Macaca mulatta: one gene and its partners. The protein of the gene in region 1 interacts with the protein of each later gene in a pairwise test. Links are inferred from orthologs where the notes say so. Each region holds a gene or a part of one and is shown on either strand. Other genes may lie near its edges.

Region 1 (4,745 bases):
CGGGCAGATCACTTGAGGTCAGGAGTTCAAGACCAGCCTGGCCAACATAGCAAAACCCTGTCTCTACTAAAAATACAAAATATTAGCCGGGCATACTCCCCAGGGCTTGTAGTCCCAGCTACTTGGGAGGCTGAGGTGTGAGGATCGCTTGAACCCGGGAGGCAGAGGTTGCAGTGAGCCGAGATTGCACACTGCACTCCAGCCTGGGTGACAAAGCGAGACTCGGTCTCTCAGAAAAAAAAAAAAAAAAAAAAGAGAGAGAGACAGAGAGAGAGAGAACATATACTGTGTACTGTAGCAATTACAGACTCTGAATTCAGAATCCCTTTAGTTCGCCATTTTCTAGCAGTATGAACTGAGACAAATTACTGAATTGCTCTGTGCCTCCACTTTCTCATCTGTAAAACAGTGATAATAAGAGTACTTACTTCCAAGGGATATTATGAAGATTAACTGAGTCAATAAGTATAAAGTGCTTAGAACAAAGCCTGCAACATATATGTGTATGATGGATTACTATTACTATACACATTATTATTATATATTATTATCATAGAATGGAAGATGGACGGGTGCAAAAAACTATCAAGAAGAGTAGGTGTTGGTTATTTAGTGACTAAACCATCAACCCAGGAAAAAGAATATCTTTTTTGGTTGTACAAGGGCATAGATGAATCAAGGTAAGATTTCCTTTTGCCAGGCACTGACAGGACCATATAGTAAATCCTATAACTATATTTAGGACATGAGATATAACCCTAAGCATTGTGCAAACTCTGCACAATAGTAATAAAACCCTCTTTCTGTGTTACCAACACTGAGAAAGGGTGTTCAAAGGAAGATTATTAATGATCTCTCCCTGCCTCTCCTGCCTTTCCGAAGACTTTTGCAAGACCCGTGGGGTTTGTTAGCGTTTCCAAACTTCTTCCCAGGAAGTCTGAAATGGGTGCTGCTAGGAGTTGCTGTATAATTACTTACTTGATTCCCTCTAAGGAGCTTACGCTAAGAATTGAGGAAAGAAAGCAGATTAACCATTTGAATACATGCCACGGCCCATCCACAAGCCCTCCCCTCACTCCTCCGTAAATGGGGGCTTCCACATTCCCCACCCGTCAACCCCAATATGTGATCCAGGAAAATCAATTTATTGCTTTGGCTAATCCTACAACAATAGGGGTTTCATTTTCATTGTAGGGCAATTAAGTTGTCCGACGGGAGGGAAGGAGCAGGAGGGGAAAGGGGGGACTCTCCCATCCCCACAGACAGATTAGTCCCCGCGGTGGCAGCAGCGTCCCCTCTGTCTGTCTGGTGGTCGGTCACACGCAGCTCCTGGCTGCTACCTAGCAACGCAAAGCCAGGGGGAGAGCTCGCCGGTTCCAGCCTCCTCCTCGCCCTTCCCATTCATCCTCGGTCGGGTCTCGGTCTCTCTCTCTCTCTCTCTCTCTCTCTCTCTCTCTCTCTCTCTTTCCTCTCTCTCTCTCTTCCCCCGCCCCAGTCGTTCTCTCTCCCCTCCTTCTTTCCTTATTCCTCTATATTTGCTTTTCCTCTTCCCTTCTTACTACTTTTATTCTCTCCGTTTCTTTCTCCCTCTCTTTCTCTCTTCTCTGTTTCTGTTAAAACATAAACTCTCGGACAACTTGAGAGAAGTTTAAAGCGCTTCATACCAAAAACTATCTGCATTCGATCCCCAAAACTCTGGCCATGCAGACGGGCCCCATTCATCAACACAAAAGCCCCCAGCTCCCAGCTGGAAAGGAAAACTTCAAGAAAAGACTCCAGTCCCTCAGCCGCTCTCAGCCAATCCCACCTCCCGGCCTTATCTTGGCTCGTAAATGATCTGTACGGTGAGAGCGGTCTCTGGGGGTCACCGCGGGACCAAGTTTCACCAGTGGTGGGAGGGGTGCTCTGGCCCGCGGCCCTGGGCGCGCGAAGGGATCCCGGGAGGGGCGCTGCAGGTGGAATGCTGCGCTCGGAGCAGAGCCCGGGACCGCGCCGCCCAGGAGAGAACTCCGCTTGGGAGAGCAAGCTGCAAACCGCAGAGAACCTCGTTCTCCTGTAAAGTGCTTTCCAGGAGGGTCGGACAAACGCCCGTGGGAACAAAGACAGGGTCTCCGTGGGGTGCGCTGTCACCGAAACTGGCGGGGCTGCTTTCTCAAGTTTGCTGCCGCTCAGTTCGTGGTGAGCGAAGGAGGGGCGCTCCCGCTCCGGGTTCGCGAAGCAACCTGAGCGCCCCACCGGGAGCAGCTCCCGCGCCGCCGCCAGGCCCTAGCCTCTGCCCGGCCGCGCTCCCCTCCGGCCTCCCGCGGACCCGACCCTGCCACAGCCGGGGAAGTGGGCGCTTCACGAGAAGCTCCGGCCGGGGGCTTACCTTGGCCACTGGCCGGCGCTAAGCAGGCGACGAGAGCCAGGAGCAGCGTGCACGCCACTGCTGCCGGCCCGCGATCCATCCCCGCGACGGTCCCCGGCCTCGCCGTTCCTTCCCCGGGAGGTGGGTGCGCGTAGCACACCACACCGGCAGCGCCTCTGCTAGCGAACGCTCCTTTAGGTCTGCACCTCCGCCAGCTCCTAGTGACCAAAAGCCTGCACCCGCGCCCGAGGCATCCCGTTTTCTACCCGCGCCAGTCCCCACCCTCCAGACAGTGCATAAAGCCCTTTAGACCCGACCGCCCCGGAACAAGCATGCGGGAATCCAGCGGGCAGGCCCCCTGCCGCCCGGCCCGCCCCCTGCACTTTGCAGCGCGGGGAGGAGTGGGCACTCGAACACACGCGCACTCACACATGGACACCCCACAGGCGTGTGCACACTCACACACGCACTCATACAGCCGCATGCACTCCTAAGTGTCACACCAACTGACACAGATTCACAGATTCACTCATACACGCCAGTCACACACGCGCGCACATTCCACAGTCACACTTCCACGCCAACATACATAGTCCCCTTTAAGCGTGCATACACGAGCACACTCCGATGCGCACACTCTCACAGGCACACTCACACGTGCACACGCGCTGCCCTCGCCTCTCCGCAGGGTTCGCCGGGCAGAGAAGCCGGCGAGGCGACTCATGGGGAAATCTGCACGGACGCAGTTTTACTAAATGAGCAATGGAAAAGAATGGACAAGGAGGAAAGTCAAGAATAGAGAAGAGAAAGAAAAAATAAGAAATGAAAAAGGAAAGAAAAACCAGACAAGTGGAAATGAAGGACAGAAAGAAAGGGAAAGAGGCGGAGGTAGGGAAGAGAAGGAGTAAAGAGCCTGCTGGATGGAGATCTGTGACCTTCATTCCTGGCCTGATCTCTCTAGGCTCCTTCGGATATCCTGGTTTCCCCTGATAGGATACAGGCTGCTGAGATGGGGTGCTCTGTGTTTTTACAAATTAGAGAGGGAGGTGGATCTTTGTTGGGGAGGTTGGATCCTTATTTAGCAATTATTCAGCACCACATCTACAGGTGTCATGGCCAGATCGCGCTTCTTACAAGTCTGTTCATTTTGAAGCAAAATTGAAAAAGAGCGAACGTCTTCTCCATGCTTCCGGTACCCCTTTATAAGAAGAAACACGAGAGGTTCAGGGAACCCCGCGACTCCCTTCTTTGGGGCAGCTTTGGACAGGCTGGCAAGCGGCCCAGACCCCAAAAGCACAAGTGGCCTTACACCCGCCCTCAGCGCGCGGTCCTCAGCCTGTACGTGACATCAGAGCCCACGGGAGGTGGGGAAAGGAGGGCTGATGCGACTTATTTCCCGGTGTTGGGGACCCTGTGTGAGGAGGGGCTGTTTGGGGACCTGAGGCCATCCCATCATTTCCAGCTCCAGCCCCTGAACCAGCGCGGCGGCTAGTCCCAGGCGCCGGATCCTGGTCCAAGAAGTCAGGAGCCCTTTCCCTCCAGAGAGGGAGCCGTGACGCAGGGAGGAGACAGCCCTGAACGCACGTGGTCGCTGGACAGGTTCCCGCTGCCTCCCTTCCCCGGGGGCGAGAACCTGACAATTACTGCCAGCGCCTTTTCCCGGGGCACCGGTCTTCTGGGGTTCTGCTGACCCCAACAGTCCGGATCGCGTAGCTTCCCTGGGCTGCAGTGGTAGGCGCAGCTTTAGGTGTGGGGGCTAGGGGAGGGAAAGGATAGGTGTTACTTTGGAAAGACAAAAAGAGATAAATACACACAAAAAGAGAAAACTTAGGCTTCAAGAAAAAAAGGTGGAGTGGGGAGCGTTGTGGGAAAGAGTGGGAGAGATTCCTGGATTGGGAAATCCATGGGTCTGTGCTCTGGCCAAAGTCACTGGATCTCTATTTGCCTCCCTGCACAGTGTTGGGCGCTGTGCGGCGCGGAGGAGACAGGACTGGGGACAAGATGGTTGGGGGCTGGGGAGGGAGGGGGCGACCCGACCCGAGCGGGAGGAGGGAGGCGGCGAGGGGGCGCGACGCTGCACTCCAGTCTTCGCGGGTGATTTATGCCGGTTCCGGGCGGCCGGGGCGATGGTACGAGACCGCGCCGGGGTCAAGCTGGTCCGACACCCGCTGAGGCCGCGCTGCATAGTCAGTGAGCGTCCCCGCACCTCCGACTTACAAAGAGCGGCCGCCGGCTGGCGGGAGGGAGGACCGCGAGTGCGGGAGGGGCTGAGCTCCCTACAGAGCGCCCGTGGGCGCGCAGGCGCAAGCGTGTGTGTGTGTGTGTGTGTGTGTGTGTGTGTGTGTGTGTGTGTGTCCCCTTTCACTGTAGCAGCCAGGGCTCCAAGCATTCCTTTCTG
Region 2 (4,909 bases), on another chromosome or scaffold:
CCTGGGCAGCGACACTAGAACAAGATCAGGTTTGGCACCTATTAGCCAACAGCATCAATAAGAACAAAAGCCTCAGGGTGGAGGTTGCTGGCCCTGCAGGTGCTGACGCAAGCCTGGAATGAAGGCCCTTTGTGAGGTGGCCCTGGGAACTGGCAACAGGTTCCGTCCTGCCAGGAGAGGGACGACAGGAGCTGGGACCTGTGTAGGAGATGGTTCTCGCCATGCTGGGGGCTCTGCACCCCCGGGCTGGGCTCAGCCTCTTCCTCCACCTTATCCTGGCAGTGGCACTGCTTCACTCCCAGCCTCTGAGGTGACTCCTGGGGCACGGAGGGGCAGGGCACTCGGGCTGGATGGCAGAGGTGCTGCCCCTCCCCTCTCTGGAGTGGGGCTGGCTGGCCCTGGTACCCTGGGTGTTGGAGGGCTTGCCAAGTGCCCCCACACTGGGCCATCCCCCCATTCACAAGGAGGTGGCGGTGGCTTTCTGGGCCAGGGCCGAGCACCCCAACCTCTCCCACAGGTCTCAGCAGTCTGTTCCTGAGGCATTTTCCGCACCCCTGGAACTCTCACAGCCACTCTCCGGCCTGGTGGATGGTAGTATCTCTCTCGTCCCCTTCCCCTTCCCCTTCCCCTGCCCCTCCCTGACAGTGGAGACTCCCCTAAGGGGTGCCCCAAGTCCAGCCTTCAGGGGCTTGTCATCCCAAACCACATATGTTCAAGGGTGCCAGCTGCCCCTCCCACCCATGCCCTCCTTTCTCTCTCTAGACTATGGCATCCTCCCCAAGCACCCGTGGCCGCGAGGGCCTCGACCCCGCCTGTCCCGGGCCCAGCAGCGCAAGCGGGATGGGCCCGACCTTGCTGAGTATTACTACGACGCACACCTATGACCCAAGGCCCCCATAAAGATACTACACATGACAAAGGCTTGGCTTTCCTGGGCTGGGAGTGAGATGGGGACAGGAGGAGTCCATACAGATACATCCACTGCAGTCCAGACAGGAAATGGCACTTTAATAGTTGGGGCCAGGGTGACAGGACCAAGATGGGGCTGGCCTGTGTCAGTCAGGAAGCCTCCCTCCTGCTGGGACAGGGCCTTGCGGCAGCTCCTCCTCCCCACTGAGGTCCTAGGCCTGCCACAGGCCAGCATGCCGGTGAGGTCAGTGGCAGGAGCCACCCAAAGTCCCGCAAATGACGGAGCTGAGAACGGGGTCTTCACCTCCACGTGTTGCCATTTCCTCACTGGAAAGTCCTTGGGAGGTGGCTGGGCTCAGCCTGAGCTCACGGCTTTTCGGTGGGGGTTGGGGCAGGGGCAGGGTGGGCACTTGCAGGTGGCACAGGCTTCATCAAGGCAGGACACGGGCTTCATCAAGGCAGGAGCCAGAGCGCCCGAGCCCTGGCAGGGGAGGTAAGGCCCAGGATGGGGCAGGGCCATGTGCTCCTGGAATGGACATCCTTCTCTGCCAGAGGCCTGCCCCCCAAGCCCTGCCCCTCCCAATCCCCAGGCAGCCCACTCTGCCCTCCATAGATGAATCTAATCCCATATATTACAATAAACCGCATTTGCTTCTCCCCATTGCCCCACCCTCCCCTACCCTGGGCCAGCAGCCCCCACTTCCTCATCCCCTGGTGGTAGCAGGTGCCCCTCCTCAAGCAGTGCCACATCCTGTCAGCAGCCAGCTGTCCTGGCACTGGCCTGAGGGCCGGGGGATGCAGAGGGCGGGGCTGCACGGCTACTCCAGGTAGATATCTTCTGTGGGGCAGGTGTACTCCACAAACTGCTTGTAGAACTGCTGGAATGCTCTCCTAGAAGCCAGGGGACACACAGATGGCTCAGACCGCCACTGGCAAGGGAGGAATGGGATCACGACCCAGGGTTTTCCCACCGGAGCCTTGGGGCCTGAATGCAGCTCTGGTTCCTCTGGCCGGGGCCACTTGGCTCTGTTCTCTACAGAATTGCCATTGCATTTCCCAGTAAGATGTCAGCTGAAGACGTGGCTCAGCAGCTACCAAGCCTGGAAGCCACTCCTCAGGCTCGCCCTGCCCTGCCACCCTCCCTCCAGGCCACTGCACTGGGGTCTGGAGATGGTTCTCCAGAGCTGCGGGGGAAACCAAGGGGCAAAGCTGAGCACCAGGAAGCAGCCCTAGGGCCTGGGATGAGGTGTGCTCCCTCGGGCTGGGTGCTCAGCAGGATGCACACGTACCCCACGGACTCTGCCAGGGCTTTGGTGGAGTCTTCAGACACAAAGACATGGCAGGCAAACCGGTGGTCGGCGGGGTGCTTGGTGATGAACCCAAAGTACCTGCAGGGACAGGTCTGTCTGTGCTGGGACAGGGGCTCGGCCCACACCCAACCACCTGAAGGCTGCAGACCAGCCGTGCCTCCTCCACTGCCATCCCACCCCCACTTACTTGTTGTTCTTTGGATGATATCCACAGAAAGAGATGTTTTTTAACTGGAAAAAGTGGCTACATTTATTCCCCTACAGGAGGGAGAAAAGAAGCAAGAGGGCGGTCACCTGGCCTGCAATGAGGGTGAGAGGAGACGGCCTCTTCACTCCAAGTCTTGGGGGAAAGCTGGGGGCCATGGAAGGAAGGGGCTGGGTTGGGAGGAGTCACCTTGGCCTCCTGGGAGTCATCGGCCTTGACGCCTATCTTCACGCCCCGCACGCTGATCTCCAGGACGCAGCTGGAGGGTGGGTTAAAGTGCACGGTGAGCCGGCGGGTGGTGGCAATCTATAGGTGACACACGGAGCCACGTCAGCTGCTGTCTGTTCCTCTGCTGATCCCTCCTGTCCCAGGGCCTGAGCCCTGAGGCCTTTACTGCCTCTAGACACCTGTATTCCTCTGCCCCAGGGAGCATCCAAGGGAGGAGAAGGGAGAGGGCTCAGGTACCTTTTGCATAGCGGCACAGAGGACGTCATTGCCCTTGTGATAGGGAACCTGGACTGAGCCCAGGAACTTCACCCGGAACTGGTCCACCCAGTCACTGTTTTTGGCCAGGGCTGGAAAGCAAGTGTGAATTGAGGAGGGGCAGAAACAGCAGGAGGGAGCTGAGCAGCCAAGCGAAGGAGGGCGGGTAAGGCACAGGGAATGGCAGAGCCCACACAGGCTGCCACAATCCCTGGCTGCCCAACTTGGCCGGGCCTCACTTTGCTCGATCGTGAAAAGGACCTAAAATCACCTCCACTCAGCCCCCCACCTGTCTGGCTAAGATCTGGAGTACACGTTCACCCAGCAGCAAGTCAGGGCAGACAGATGTGGTGGCTGGGGGCACAGGCCAGGCAGGGAACGCTACCTGCCATGTGCTCGGGCTCCTTGGTGACCTCGATGGCGTAATAGGCAGGAAAGACGCCCCGGGCACCGGTGCGCATGTTGTAGGCCTCGTACCAGTAGTCTTCAGCCTGGAGCTCCACTAGCAGAGGGTCATCCACTTCCAGCTCAAGTTCGTCTTCGTGTCGAGGCACAAACCTGTCCCCAGCAAGGACAGGTGAGAAATTCGGCACCAGGGCCTGTCCGGCCAGGCCTACTCTGCAGTCTGGGAGCCACAGCAGCATCGTCATTTCAGTAAACATTTGCAAAAGCATCCTGTGTGCCTGTGGCAGTGCTAACCCCAGGGGAGAGCAAGGTCAAGCAAACATGCGTCTGCCGTTGAGGAAACACAGGCCAAGGGAGGGTGCGGGCAGGGACCCTCTAAAATGGAGAGGCTGTGGGAAGCGCAGGCTTTTGTCTAGAGAAGGGTCAGGTGGGGTGTGGGCAGGCATCCTCTTGGTCACCCTCCTGGGTGCCCTGCCCCCGACCAGACTAGGTGCGCAGTCCTGGGATCCCTCACCGTAGCCATCCTCTTTGTCACCATACTCTGAGTCCCTAGAGAGTGGACACTGTCCTCCCAGGGCTGAGTGGATCAACGAATGCTGATGGCAGGGGTTAGGCTGAGGCCATGTAGGGGTGACAAATGGAGGGTGGTGTGTGGCCCAAACTGCTGCGTGGCCAGGCCCAGCCAGCCCATGGCTCTCACCTGAATATGGCCCGGTGGGTCTGCTCCTGCTCCTCCCCATTGATGATGCAGGAGAACAGCCCGAAGGACTCGGCACCTGCAGGTGAGGGGGTATGGCTGGATGGGAGGTCGCAGCTCTGATCCAGGTTTAGCGGGGCAGGTAGAAGCCTCAGTCCTAACCAGATGGGGCCTGGGGTCGCCTCCCAGAACACTTCGCATTTTGGCTCTGTCCCGCTAGGGAACCCCCACCCCCCAACTGCTTCCCCTTGCTGACTCACTGGAGGAGCGGGAGCGGCCACTCATGAAGACGTTCAGGAACTTCTTGGAGAAATGGACGTCGGGTTCGTCAGGCGTGGAATCCTCGGAGAGGCAGGCAGGGGGCTGGGGCCGGGGGGCCTCCTCATATTCCTCTCCGATGGCCGACTCATAGGGCGAGGAGACAGAGGCACAGTTGTCATAGACGGTGGCCGAGTCACTCTCGTCACTGTAGTCTCCGAAGCACGGCCGCAGGCTCACCAGCTCCAGCTGTGCGTGCTCATCCACCACCAGCGTGTACTTGACCGAGTCGTAGGACAGGGCGCTGGTGTCCGAGCTCAGAGACGCCCGTGGAGGTGGCGGCGGCTCCCCCAGGCTCCCCCGCCACCCTCCGCCTGGGGGCTCAGCCCGCTCTGGGGACGACAGGCAGTCGAAGCCCTCCTCCTCTTCACTGATGGAGGGGTGTGGCCGCCCTGCCGTGGAGGGGTAGGCAGCAGGGTCTGGATCGGAGCTGACCGACATCCGGCTCTCAGTGGGAGGCAGGAAGGCGGAGGTGGGCTCTGCAGGGTCTGGGGGCCTCTGCACTGGGGTCAGGTAGATCTCCTCAGTGGCCTCTAGTCGCACATCGGCCTGGTAGTGGATTCGGTCTCGATGCGAGTGGCC
Region 3 (4,119 bases), on another chromosome or scaffold:
GGAGGGAGATGAGGAAGGCCAGGAGGGAGGAGACCCTGGCTCAGAGGCACCTGCCCCTGGTCCCCTTATCCCCTCCCCTTCTCTGGAGGAGCCCCATAAGCACCGGCCAACCACCCTCCGTCTGACCACACTGGGGGCCCAGGTGAGTGCCCCGACCCACAGCTCCTTGGAGCTGAGCCTGGGTTCATAGCACCTGGGACTCTGCAGCCAGCCCTGCTCACCCCCTGGGAGCTGGAGGCCCTCCTCAGGACGGCCATCATGTATCTCCACCCCAGGACTCCCTGAACAACAACGGAGGCTTTGACCTGGTGCCTCCGGCCTCCTGGCAAGAGACAGCGCTGTGCTCACCCGCCCCGGAGGCCCTCAGAGGTGAGGGGTGGTGGGCCCGCGGGCCACGGTGAAGTGGGGGGGGGGGAGGGGAGGGAGGATGGGCTGGTTGCTGAAAGAGGCCTGGATGGTGCAGAGAGGGTGACCCCCACCTCCCTGCCCAGCAGAGCCCCCGGGCCCCCTCCCTCCCACGGACACAGGGCCCGGCGGGACGCAGTCGCCAGTGCGCCCGGGTTGCGACTGCGAAGGGAACCGGCCTGCGGAACCCCCGGCGCCAGGGGGGACTTCGCCCTCCTCAGATCCCGGCATCGAGGCTGACCTGAGAAGCCGCTCGAGCGGGGGCCACGGGGGACGTCGCAGCAGCCAGGAGCTGTCCTCGCCCGGCTCCGACTCAGAGGACGCGGGCGGCGCGCGCCTAGGGCGCATGATCTCGTCCATCTCGGAGACGGAGCTGGAGCTGAGCAGCGACGGCGGAAGCAGCAGCAGCGGCCGCTCCTCGCACCTCACCAACTCCATCGAGGAGGCCTCGTCGCCCGCCTCGGAGCCGGAGCCCCCGCGCGAACCCCCGCGCCGCCCCGCCTTCCTGCCCGTGGGTCCCGACGACACCAACAGCGAGTACGAGTCGGGGTCGGAGTCGGAGCCGGACCTCAGCGAGGACGCGGACTCGCCCTGGCTGCTCAGCAACCTGGTGAGCCGCATGATCTCCGAGGGCTCCTCGCCCATCCGCTGCCCCGGCCAGTGCCTGTCTCCGGCGCCGCGCCCGCCCGGGGAGCCCGTGTCGCCGGCCGGCGGGGCTGCCCAGGACTCCCAGGACCCCGAGGCGGCCGCGGGGCCCGGCGACGTGGAGCTGGTGGACATGGAGACGCTGTGCGCGCCGCCGCCGCCTGCGCCCGCCGCGCCTCGACCCGGCCCCGCGCAGCCCGGGCCCTGCCTGTTCCTCAGCAACCCCACGCGTGACACCATCACGCCGCTGTGGGCCGCGCCCGGCCGCGCTGCCCGCCCGGGCCGAGCCTGCTCCGCCGCCTGCTCTGAGGAGGAGGACGAAGAGGACGACGAGGAAGAGGAGGATGCCGAGGACAGTGCGGGGCCCCCCGGGGGCAGGGGCACGGACCCCTCGGCGCCGCGGGACGCCTCGCTGGTGTATGACGCGGTCAAGTACACGCTGGTGGTGGACGAGCATACGCAGCTGGAGCTGGTGAGCCTGCGGCGCTGCGCCGGGCTGGGCCACGACAGCGAAGAGGACAGCAGCGGGGAGGCCAGCGAGGAGGAGGTGGGCGCAGCGCTGCTAGGCGGTGGTCAGGTCCCGGGGGACACCTCGCCGGACAGCCCTGACCTCACTTTCTCCAAGAAGTTCCTCAATGTCTTCGTCAACAGCACATCCCGGTCCTCCAGTGAGTGACAGGCAGGGAAAAGGGGGGTGACCCAGAGGAACATGCGGAGTCCCTGGCCCCAGTCCCAGGCTCCCCCACAGTGCCCGGGGCCACCTGAGGGTCTGGCCATGGTCAGGGCTGGGCGCCCTCTCCCATCCAGGACATGGCATGAGGTGGCCTGCTCTGCCTCAGCCCCTTCCTGCTCCCAGGACACCCACACCGGCCTGCAGAGGGGACTCCACCTCTGCCCGAGGCCAGGCCTCTAAACATTCTTTCCCCTACTCTGCCTCTCTGTCTCCCTGTCTTCCCCACCTCTGTCCCATCTGGTCTCCCAGGCACCGAGTCCTTTGGCCTTTTCTCCTGTCTGGTCAACGGTGAGGAGCGAGAGCAGACCCACAGGGCTGTGTTCAGGTACAGCCTCCCTCCTTGCTGGCGGTGGCCCCAGCCTCAGTCCGTGCCATCCCAGGACGCCAATGGACACGACCCTCAATCCCGCCCCCCTCCCCAGTGACCTCTCCCCCAACGGCAGGTTCATCCCGCGGCATCCAGACGAACTGGAGCTGGACGTGGATGACCCCGTGTTGGTGGAGGCCGAGGAGGATGACTTCTGGTTCCGTGGCTTCAACATGCGTACGGGGGAGCGCGGTGTGTTCCCTGCCTTCTACGCCCATGCGGTTCCCGGCCCTGCCAAGGACCTGCTGGGTGAGGTCCCAACCCCGAGGGGTGGCGTGTCACCCCAGATCCTCCCCTAGGCCCCTGCCTGACCTGGGCCCTCTGTGCCCCCCTCCCCAGGGAGCAAGCGGAGTCCCTGCTGGGTGGAGCGCTTTGATGTGCAGTTCCTGGGCTCTGTGGAGGTGCCCTGCCACCAGGGCAATGGCATCCTATGTGCAGCCATGCAGAAGGTCAGTGTGGAGGCCGGGCAAGTGCAAGCTGAGGGTTCGCATGGTGGCCCCACCAGCACTGCAGGCTGGCACAGGGCCTTGAGGCTCCAAGGCGTCTGATTTCCTCCAGGGAGGGTGTGGGGGATGCTGCAGGGGTAGCTCTGGATGGGTACCCCAGGCCCTGGTTCAGAGGCCTGAGCAGGTGAGTCTAGGGCAGAGCTCAGCAGCTGTCCCTCATTACTTCTGGGTCTCTGGGCCACAGATCTTCCAGTTGGCCCCGAGTGCCATCAGCCCTTCCTCTTCCTGTCTGGAATCAAGACCAGCCCTCACAGCCCCTTCCCTGGGAGCCCTCTACTCATCCACTCACTCAGTGGACGTTTAGTGCGCGCCTGCCCATGCACCAGTACTGAGACTGAGGCTGGGGGGTGGTAGGGAGCAGGGCAGAGCAGCCCTGCCTCTGAGAGCTCCCTGGAGCTTGTAGGGCCAGGCAGTGAAGAGGCCAGGGTGGGTGGGGTCTGTGTTCCTGGCTCCTGAGCCCAGAGCAGCACCCTGCCTGGAGGAGCAGAAGGAAGATGAAGCACGCTGACTGCTTCCCCTGAGCCTGAGAAGTGGCCAAGGCCACTCCCTTATGTCTTCCAGAATTGCATCTCAGGAGTCCTCAGCATGCATGTCCTCAAACATAAGCTAAAAGGAGCAGAGGCGTATGTAGTCCCACCAAGGGGAAAGAAAGATGCCCTTGTGGGCCCCTCAGGACCCTCTTCTCCCCCAACTTCTTAGATTGCCACTGCCCGGAAACTGACTGTCCACCTGCGCCCTCCTGCCTCCTGTGACCTCGAGATCTCTCTTCGGGGGGTCAAGCTGAGTCTGAGCGGAGGAGGGCCCGAGGTGGGGGCTTGGGGGACTGGGGACAGGGGACGGGGGGGTAGGGTTAAGCCACGGAGTCAGACGGGGCCAGGCTGGCAGGGGTGTCAGGCAGGCGGGAGGCAGGGGTGGCCCCAGGCTTCCTCTAACACGGGGGCTTCTGCCCACCTCTGCTGTAGTTCCAGCGCTGCAGCCATTTCTTCCAGATGAAGAACATCTCCTTCTGCGGCTGCCACCCCCGAAACAGCTGGTAAGATTCCAACCATCCCCGAGTCCCCACAAACCCGCAACTCCCCGAGTCCCCCAACTGCCCCCGAGTTCCCCAACCACCCCACAAACGCTGAGAGTCCAACCACCCCCGGAGTCCCCACAAACCCCGAGGGCTGCCTAACCATCCCCCAAGTCCCCACAGACCCTGAGGGCCGCTCGTGCCCAACCCTGAGAGCTCCACCTGCACCCACTTGGCTCTCTGAGCTGAGTGTGCAGTGACGCCCGCTCTGAGCTGGACTCAGGAGGCGCAGGTCAGACAGGCTTGCATCTGGTCTGGGTGGAGAGAGGCACACGGGCGAAGGATGTGAGAAGCCTGTGTGGGTGTGGAGGATGCCTGAGTGGGCCCTGGGGAGCAGACCCCCAGAGGTGGGCAAGTCCTCCTGGGGCTCAGGATGGCCAGCCTGGAAAGA

The links.
Region 2: the proteins of LRP2 (region 1) and MAPK8IP1 interact in a two-hybrid assay, tested with the Homo sapiens proteins (2 studies listed by BioGRID). The link is inferred for Macaca mulatta from reciprocal best matches to the Homo sapiens genes LRP2 and MAPK8IP1.
Region 3: the proteins of LRP2 (region 1) and MAPK8IP2 interact in a two-hybrid assay, tested with the Homo sapiens proteins (2 studies listed by BioGRID). The link is inferred for Macaca mulatta from reciprocal best matches to the Homo sapiens genes LRP2 and MAPK8IP2.

Annotation. Positions count from the first base shown.
Region 1 is NC_133417.1:74,276,823-74,281,567, forward strand, and holds the start of LRP2 (low-density lipoprotein receptor-related protein 2), read right to left. Parts: upstream 2,982-4,745; 5' UTR 2,448-2,981; coding exon 2,369-2,447; intron 1-2,368. UniProt on the Homo sapiens protein: Multiligand endocytic receptor. Acts together with CUBN to mediate endocytosis of high-density lipoproteins. Mediates receptor-mediated uptake of polybasic drugs such as aprotinin, aminoglycosides and polymyxin B.
Region 2 is NC_133419.1:19,710,620-19,715,528, forward strand, and holds the end of MAPK8IP1 (C-Jun-amino-terminal kinase-interacting protein 1), read right to left. Parts: coding exon 4,270-4,909; intron 4,089-4,269; coding exon 4,013-4,088; intron 3,466-4,012; coding exon 3,251-3,465; exon of another isoform or gene 3,229-3,250; intron 3,107-3,228; exon of another isoform or gene 3,048-3,106; coding exon 2,890-3,047; intron 2,731-2,889; coding exon 2,614-2,730; intron 2,478-2,613; coding exon 2,407-2,477; exon of another isoform or gene 2,298-2,406; coding exon 2,199-2,297; exon of another isoform or gene 1,801-2,198; coding exon 1,728-1,800; 3' UTR 992-1,727; downstream 1-991. Other genes in the region: FREY1 (protein Frey 1), read left to right, coding at 351-591, 763-884. UniProt on the Homo sapiens protein: The JNK-interacting protein (JIP) group of scaffold proteins selectively mediates JNK signaling by aggregating specific components of the MAPK cascade to form a functional JNK signaling module. Required for JNK activation in response to excitotoxic stress.
Region 3 is NC_133415.1:843,192-847,310, reverse strand, and holds part of MAPK8IP2 (C-Jun-amino-terminal kinase-interacting protein 2), read left to right. Parts: coding exon 1-142; intron 143-275; coding exon 276-369; intron 370-491; coding exon 492-1,718; intron 1,719-2,032; coding exon 2,033-2,108; intron 2,109-2,226; coding exon 2,227-2,399; intron 2,400-2,489; coding exon 2,490-2,599; intron 2,600-3,355; coding exon 3,356-3,463; intron 3,464-3,618; coding exon 3,619-3,689; intron 3,690-4,119. UniProt on the Homo sapiens protein: The JNK-interacting protein (JIP) group of scaffold proteins selectively mediates JNK signaling by aggregating specific components of the MAPK cascade to form a functional JNK signaling module.